Callithrix jacchus: one gene and its partner. The protein of the gene in region 1 interacts with the protein of each later gene in a pairwise test. Links are inferred from orthologs where the notes say so. Each region holds a gene or a part of one and is shown on either strand. Other genes may lie near its edges.

What was found.
Region 2: the proteins of MYPN (region 1) and ANKRD1 interact in a two-hybrid assay, tested with the Homo sapiens proteins (2 studies listed by BioGRID). The link is inferred for Callithrix jacchus from reciprocal best matches to the Homo sapiens genes MYPN and ANKRD1.

The regions. Positions count from the first base shown.
Region 1 is NC_133513.1:62,291,928-62,296,235, reverse strand, and holds the start of MYPN (myopalladin), read left to right. Parts: upstream 1-1,442; 5' UTR 1,443-1,507; intron 1,508-4,308. UniProt on the Homo sapiens protein: Component of the sarcomere that tethers together nebulin (skeletal muscle) and nebulette (cardiac muscle) to alpha-actinin, at the Z lines.
Region 2 is NC_133513.1:83,691,471-83,695,182, reverse strand, and holds part of ANKRD1 (ankyrin repeat domain-containing protein 1), read left to right. Parts: intron 1-533; coding exon 534-632; intron 633-2,093; coding exon 2,094-2,192; intron 2,193-2,469; coding exon 2,470-2,568; intron 2,569-2,707; coding exon 2,708-2,806; intron 2,807-3,712. UniProt on the Homo sapiens protein: May play an important role in endothelial cell activation. May act as a nuclear transcription factor that negatively regulates the expression of cardiac genes. Induction seems to be correlated with apoptotic cell death in hepatoma cells.

The DNA of each region.
Region 1 (4,308 bases):
AGCCACTGTACCTGGCCTAAAGTTAGTTTTAAAAGAACCAACCTCTTATATTGTTTCAGCACAATAACTGTAACAAATAGAAACAAAAAAATAGGTCTGTCATAGCATTCTGACTGCTTCCAGTGCCCTACTTTTCCACACTAATGCCTAATGCTCCAGTCTACATATTAATTCGTGTTCCCAGATAAAATATTGCATATAGAGTTTATTTGCAAGCATTTGCTTTTTTCTTTCTAAATTATCACTTCTTTTTGTTTGTTTAGTCATACAAGATAATTTCAGGGTTGGTTTCAGTCAGAAAAATCATTAACTTAAAACCCTACATAGAGTTCCCTCAGAATATTTACTAAAAGAAAGATATGTTTTCTGTTGATTTTTACCTTTAATTTTTTACAAATATGTTGGAAATGTAATCATTTGAATATTTGCAATAGTTATGAGCACAGACCTTGGTTCAATTTTGGCTAAGTCACTTACTTGTCTTGTGACCTTGGGCAAGTTTTAAACTAATTTCTAAGCCTCAAGTTTTCATCTGTAAAATGAGAATTGTAATGATACCTACTTCATAGACTATTTTTCTTTTTTTTTATATACATGTTTAATCCATGCATATACTTCATAGACTGTTAAGGGAATCCATTACATAAAACACAACATACACAAAGGGTCTAGCATAGTGCCCAGTACATAGCTAAGAAATGTTAACTTATTTCTACCAAGATTGTACTGTATTTATGTATGTTCATATAGTTATATATATTAATGTGGTAAGAAGTAGGATTTAACTGTATACTTTGAGGAATACATACATGATAACAATTGTTCCAGATTTCATCAGTAACTTAGTCTCAGAGCGCTCTTTTAAAGAGTTCTGAATAGATTTTCTTCTTGGAAATAATACTTTTTGAAAAGTGCAAACTTTGATATGTGCTATATACCAAAAGCACAAGTAAAGGAAGCTTTGTTGTGTTTTAATACAAACCACATAACAAAACTTTAATCACCTTAAAATTAGGGGAGCAAGCAGGAAGTACTGTAATAATTAATTGTTTTTCCATATTTACCTTAAGAAATGCCTTGACCACAGTCCCAGCATGGTACTAAACAGATATTTACACATGTAATATGCATTCTGTATATAGATGTCTTATGTATTCCCTATGCTTTATTCTTGAGAATTTTGTCACTACTATTTTCATTTAGTCTAAGAAGAAATCAAGAAAGCCTATTTCCTTAGTTATCTTAGTCATTATCCACCCCACCAGCCCTCCAGGCTAAGAACATCGTGCAGACTGAGTTATTAAAGTTGATCTGAAAGAGCAATCTGTTCTAAATGACTGTCCCTGGATCTGCAACGGAACCCTGTAAATACCCTTCATTACACTGGCGGGACTGTATCACATTTCCCTTCGTGCCACTTTTGTGTCTGACACAAGTTAGGCAGTGAGATTCGGACTTTAGATGATCCTGGTTGATTGATAGAGGAATGGTGCTTCTCCTGAGACAGGTAACCACAAATTTACTTCTCAGGGTAATGTTTTTAAGTGGGTATTCTGTTTAGTTTTTAAAAATGTTTTTAGTTTTTAAAACTAAGTTGGTTTTGAACTTTTAAATCGTTTTTTAAAAATGTTTTTAGTTTTCCCAGGCAAGCATTTTCAGTACTGTTTAGATGAAAAAGAAATTTCTTAATGATTTCATTGTCTTTTTCAATTATATTATTGTTATGCCTTTTGTATAATGTTTTCTAAAATCCACCACCAATCTATTGTTTTGGATGGTCAAGAACTTGTCTTTGCTGTGAAAATTTTTCTCATTAAAAATGGCTAAAAAATACATACTGTCTGTTTTTCAAAAATACCACGCAGAGGTTTTGTTTAGTTTTTTTCATCTGATACTGGGTCTCTTAAGATGAATCTACAAACTTCAAGCAAAACTTATTGAAGCTTTGGTATATGTGAGTAATTTGTTTTAGAGAACTGGAGCCTATAGCGATATAAGAAAAATAGCAAATGCAAATATTTTATATGAATCTACTAGCATGGAAATTCTCTCATGCTTATCGTCCAAGTGAAGACTTCCTCTGTCATAGATCTTCCAGATTCCTTGACATTCCTGTGGATCATCCCAATGTGAGTAAACTGTTTCTGTGGCTGACTGACTGAATTAAGAAAACAGCTGAAGGCAAGCACAGGATCATGTTCAAACCACAAGAAACACATGTGTTGGATGAGCCACTCAATTTTATGGGGAAGGCTTGAGACATGTAACCAACCTTGTGTTTGCTTGCCACTTAACAAGGCTTGTGTTTAACTATGTTGGTCATTAAAAAGTTTTAAAGGTTATTTTTTGTATCAATTAACTCTGATGAAATCTTGAACTGTAGGTTTGTGGTATAATGTTTATACAATTACAACTGAAGATAAGCAAGGTGGGAACTGGGTTATTTGGGAGCAGAAATCAAATTTTAAAAACTAAAATCTAAAATATGTTTGATGTGTCATAACCAAGGTGTTCACAATTGCTAAATATTGTTTATTCAAAACATTTATATTCAGTTTTTTTTTCAAAGAGCTAAAAAATCGTGTACGGTATCTGTGTTTGAAAATGTTTCAGAAAAATTAAAAGAGGAAGATGACTGCCATTCAGAATTTCTTTGGCTTCTTTTTTCTTTCTTTCTTTCTTTTTAGACAGAGTCTTGCTCTGTTGCCCAGGCTGAAGTGCAATGGCATGATCTCAGCTCACTGCAACCTCCACCTCCCAGGTTCAAGAGATTCTCCTGCCTTAGCCTCCAGAGTAGCTGTGACTATAGGCACGCACCTCCACACCTGGCTAATTTTCTTGTATTTTTAGTAGAGATGGGGTTTTGCAATGTTGCCCAGGCTGGTCTCGAACTCCTGAGCTCAGGTGATCCACCCTCCTCAACCTTCCAAAGTGCTAAGGTTACAGGCATAAGCCACCGCGCCTGGCCAGCTTCTTTTTTCTGTAATTCTTTTTTTTGCATTTTAAAACTACTTAAAATTCTTCATATAGATTCCTAATTTCCCTGCCCAACCAGTTTTATTCTAGCTTTTAGTATGAGTCTCTTTCAACCTTAGTATTCTATACCTGGGTGAAAGAATACCAGGCTCACCATGGCAGTTTGCAGGAAAGTCTTGGACTCCTGACCTCAAGTGATCCACCCACCTCAGCTTCCCAAAGTTCTAGGATTACAGGCATGAGCCACCATGCCTGGCCCAGTTTGCAGGAAAGTAAAAATGTGTTAACTTATAGTGTGTTTAAACATTGCCCTTACTAGCCACCCAAAATAGAGGTTCTACTCTCCCACATCCCCACCCAAGACCTAGCAGCACTTACATTGATTATGGCTTAAGATCTGAGTGGGATAGTGGAGGAAGATCCTCTTTTTAAATAAAAAGAAATTGTTGGCATATCCACATAAATAGAATATGTAGAAGGACAATTAAGTGGTCTTGACATTAGTATCAGCACAAGATTAGGTAAGAGAGCAAATGAACCTGTATATTGAAGCTCCGGATTACTGTGGTAATGAGAATAACCTAACTGGAGAATTCATTTCCTCCTGTACTCTTTTCTCTCCTCAATATCAGTTATTTTCATCTGAATTATTTAAAAGTGTTCCTCATTTTTTTTACCTGTGTAAACATAAAATTACATTAAAAAGGTATAATTAAACCTCCAATGCAATCACAATAAACAAAGAAATTTTATATCTATTCAATGTACTATAAATAGTCTCATGATGACTGAAGAGGATAAAGGTCTCTTAGTAAATTCCATGAGGTCAGAATTTTTTGTGTATTTTGTGCACTGCTTTATAACAGAGTAGGCATTAAGTAAATAATTATCAAATGAATGAATGACTAGGAAGAAACCCTATAAGCAGTTGTGTTGTGACTTAAGAAAGCTAGATTTAAACCAATATATTTCATGCTATCAGAATCCAAGAATGATCCTTTTAAAGAATAGTAACCATCATTTAAGTCTGAATTTTCAAAGTCCTGACTTCTTTTTTTTTTTTTTCATTTTGGCTCCCCCACACCAGGAAGTCCTGACTTCTACCATGATTAATAATGTAATAGCATCATTTAATCTGTACTAAGCAATCAGGTTAACTTTTTTCAAATTTATTTATTTATTATTATTATTTTTGAGATGGAGTTTTACTCTGTCCCCCAGGTTGGAGTGCAGTGGTGCAATCTTGGCTCACTGCAACTTCTGCCTCCCAGGTTCAAATGATTCTCCTGCCTTAGTCTCCCAAGTAGCTGGGATTACAGGCATGTGCCCCCA
Region 2 (3,712 bases), about 21 Mb from region 1:
CCTAAGGTTGTTCCAGCTCTAATCCTCCATTAGCCCATTCATATAAAGCCAATTTATCAGAAATCACTAATCCTTTTGTATTCTTTCCCCCATGAAGTGAAATTGGGGATCACTTCTGAAGTTGAACTAAAAGCATGTCTCCCATTCTCCTAAAAATGAATTGAAACTTTTTGATAGTCAGTCTGGCTACAGGCCCAGATGCAAGAAAACTGTCTGATCTGCATGGTAAATGCTGTATGAACAAGGGAAGTGCAAGATACAAGAAAGGGAGATGTCAGCATTTAGGTAATTTTGAGCCTTTAAGTTCACATTCCTCAACATAGGCCTTTGAGCCCTTAGGGCTCAAATATTAGTTGCAGGATAATTGTTCTGATTCTGCAATTTTAGTTAACTTTGACATTTCTAATTCATAAAGAAGCACTTGAGTTTCTCTCAGTTACATCATCAGAATCTTCAGCTTCATAGTTCTTAAAAGGGTTTATGCACATTTTTATATTTATTACTATCTCTTTTTTAAAATCTTGTTCTGATAGTATAAACGGACAGCTCTTCATAGAGCATGCTTGGAAGGACATTTGGCAATTGTGGAGAAGTTAATGGAAGCTGGAGCCCAGATTGAATTCCGTGATATGGTAAATATATTTCTTTGCTTGGGAATGAGCCAAAATAAGTAAACCATATGAAGCTCCAGAAAACCTCCAATGCAAAACCAGGCTGACTGGATTGAAAATTGATCTGAGAAAATGAGGCAAAAGCTCATTTCTCCAAATAAAGTTGGGAGATGAGACTGGGTCATGTGGAATATTTTCCATACATACTGAAAATAGAGGAATATTTCAGGGAAAAGAAGGAAGTGAGAGCTGTTAAACAGAATTCAATATCCTCATCAGCAAGTTAGTCATTCATTTTCAACAATTGACTTACAACAGCCTTGTCCCTCCATTGTACACAGGGCAGCCTGCTCATGGTCCCTTGGCTGCCAGCAACATATACGAATTCTCTAGCTGCACACTTTATATGATAGATGCCAATTGCCACCAATGAGATTTGGGGCTAGACTGCATGTGAAATGAATTGCATCTATGGAAAGTAGCCGCTATTCAGACTTCAATAATTCAATCACTGTAATTTCTACAAAGACCAGTATGCAGCATAATTTATGAACTGAAGATTGAGCTGGGAAAATGCTTTATGTATTTAAATGCAGCTCAATTGGATTTTATAGCAAAGTGGAAAACGAGATATCAAAGAAATCCAAAGGACTTGGCCAAAATTGAATCCAAAATACAAACACATTGAAAAAAATTAAAGAAACAAAATATGAGTTTACATGGAAACTAAAAAATCGTGAGTGTGGGATTAAGGTCAGGGGCATACCAACTACACAGAGCAGTGAGGAAGGGGTCTCCTAGGTTTAACTATGCAAGTTACAACTGGAGCCACAAGTGACCACAGTTGAGGTACAGAGGCTGTGCCAGCAAAAATGAGAGCAGAAAACCCACAGGGGTAGAGAAAGAGTGACAAGGACCACAGATGAGGTGTCAGATCCAGATTAAAATATTTTAGAAGGCACTACTTTTATTCTGCCAGAATTTTTAAGTACATGTGTTTAGAACTTCTGAGTATATTTTACAAAAGTGGCTAAAAGTTCCAGGCAGATGGGGGTTTGAATATGTATTCTGCCTCTTATTAACTGTGTTTCCTTGGGCTAGAAACTTGAACTTTTGGGAACCTGGTTTTTCCTAACTGTAAAATGTGCATAGTACCACCTACCTCAAAATGTTGCTGGAAGAATCAAGGTGTCTAGAGTGTAGCACCATGTTGGCATGAGAAATGTCTCAATAAATGGTCGTTCTTGTTCTTTTAAAAATTATTAGATTTATTAAGAGCCTCCTAATAAAACACACATATGCACGCACACACACATATAACTTGCTAACAGATTTGGTGAAAAAACATCTTTGACTCCAGTTAGAATTGGCAGTCTAGATGGGGACAACTCATTGTTATCACGGATGCCTTGGCAATCAGCTTCTAATTCCCCAGACCACATTCTCCTTCATGTTGTCGGGTCTTTTTCCCTCCCGGTATAGCTCGAATCCACAGCCATCCACTGGGCAAGCCGTGGAGGAAACCTGGATGTTTTAAAATTGTTGCTGAACAAAGGAGCAAAAATTAGCGCCCGAGATAAGGTATTTCTTCTCCTTTTCTTCCCTTCAATCACCCCTTCCCCCTCCCTGTTACCCTCCTCCTTCTCCACTTCTCCCACTCTTCCCCCTTCCTCACCCCTCTTCCTCCTTCCCTTCTCCCTCTCCTAACCTCACCTCTCCGTTAAAGTCATCAGGAGGCCCTTGCTGTGTGCAGACACCCTAGTGACCACTTCTCCCCCTCGCACATGTCTTGGGGTCTGGGACAGCCTCTCCTCTATCCTCATTCCTAGCGAATCAGCAGCGTTTTCCAATTTTCCAGTTGCTCAGCACAGCGCTGCATGTGGCGGTGAGGACTGGCCACTATGAGTGCGCGGAGCATCTTATCGCCTGTGAGGCCGACCTCAACGCCAAAGACAGAGTGAGTAGCTGAACACACTCGGGTTTCCCAAAGCTTCATTGCTTATGTGTTAGGAATCACTCCCCCAAGCCTGGGTGCCCTTGCAGGACCCAATTCTGGCCTTAGACCCACCTTGAGTCTGTTTACTCTGCTTCTCTAGGAAGGAGATACCCCCTTGCACGATGCGGTGAGACTGAATCGCTATAAGATGATCCGACTCCTGATAATGTACGGCGCGGATCTCAATATCAAGAACTGTGTAAGTACTGGGAACCAGAAACACTGCTTGCAAGCTTTCTAATTTCCAGAAGCATTTCTTAAATACGTGAAAAGACCTCCATAGTGGCATTATTTGGGGGTCTAAATGTCCCTGCCCATTTCTCTGAGGACAGTGTTTATCTTGGCTAGCACTCAGGTCACATGGCCAGAGAAGGGGAAGTCATCGGTACTGCTGTGACTTCAGTGCCCGATAAGATACCTAATAATTCTTTTACAGTTCGGTCTTGAAAATGAAAGATAGTCAAAATTTGCACATCCACACAAATACCTAGAAGTCCAATCTACCTTGGCCAATCCTATCAGTTCAAGGGCTGAGAAAGTTAGAAGTAAAGACCGCTACCATTTCTGAAATGGTCTAAAATTCCACAAGGGTCAGTGCAGGCAGTGAACTAAAGTTAATCAGTATCCAATCTGAGTAATTCAGAAGGTCCCTTTCCTCCTTACAGCAATGTGAAATGTCACCATTTTCTTTTAGGGGTAGCTGTGCTTTTGCCTGTATTTTTTATTTTTTCAGATAATTTCTATCTATTCTCCACTTGGATTTGTCTGCAGATCTCTCAAAATAATTTCCTATATTTAGGCCCTGAAAATTCTTGTATAAGTACATATTAATTTAACTTCATCTGTAAGCAGGGAACATAACCAACTTTTCCTCATGGTCTCAATTTCCAGACAAACACCATCTAATATAAGCTTTAAAAATATTGCCCAGAGGAACGGATATACATTTCTGAAGAAACAATTTTTAAGAAGCTTCTGAAGAATCACTTTACAAAAAAGGGTGGAGGGGGGACTCTGTCATCATATAAATGCAAATAATTTTCTCCCCTATTTGTGTTGCAAAGACTGAGAGGAATATCTTATCATTTAAAAAAATCTGGCTTGG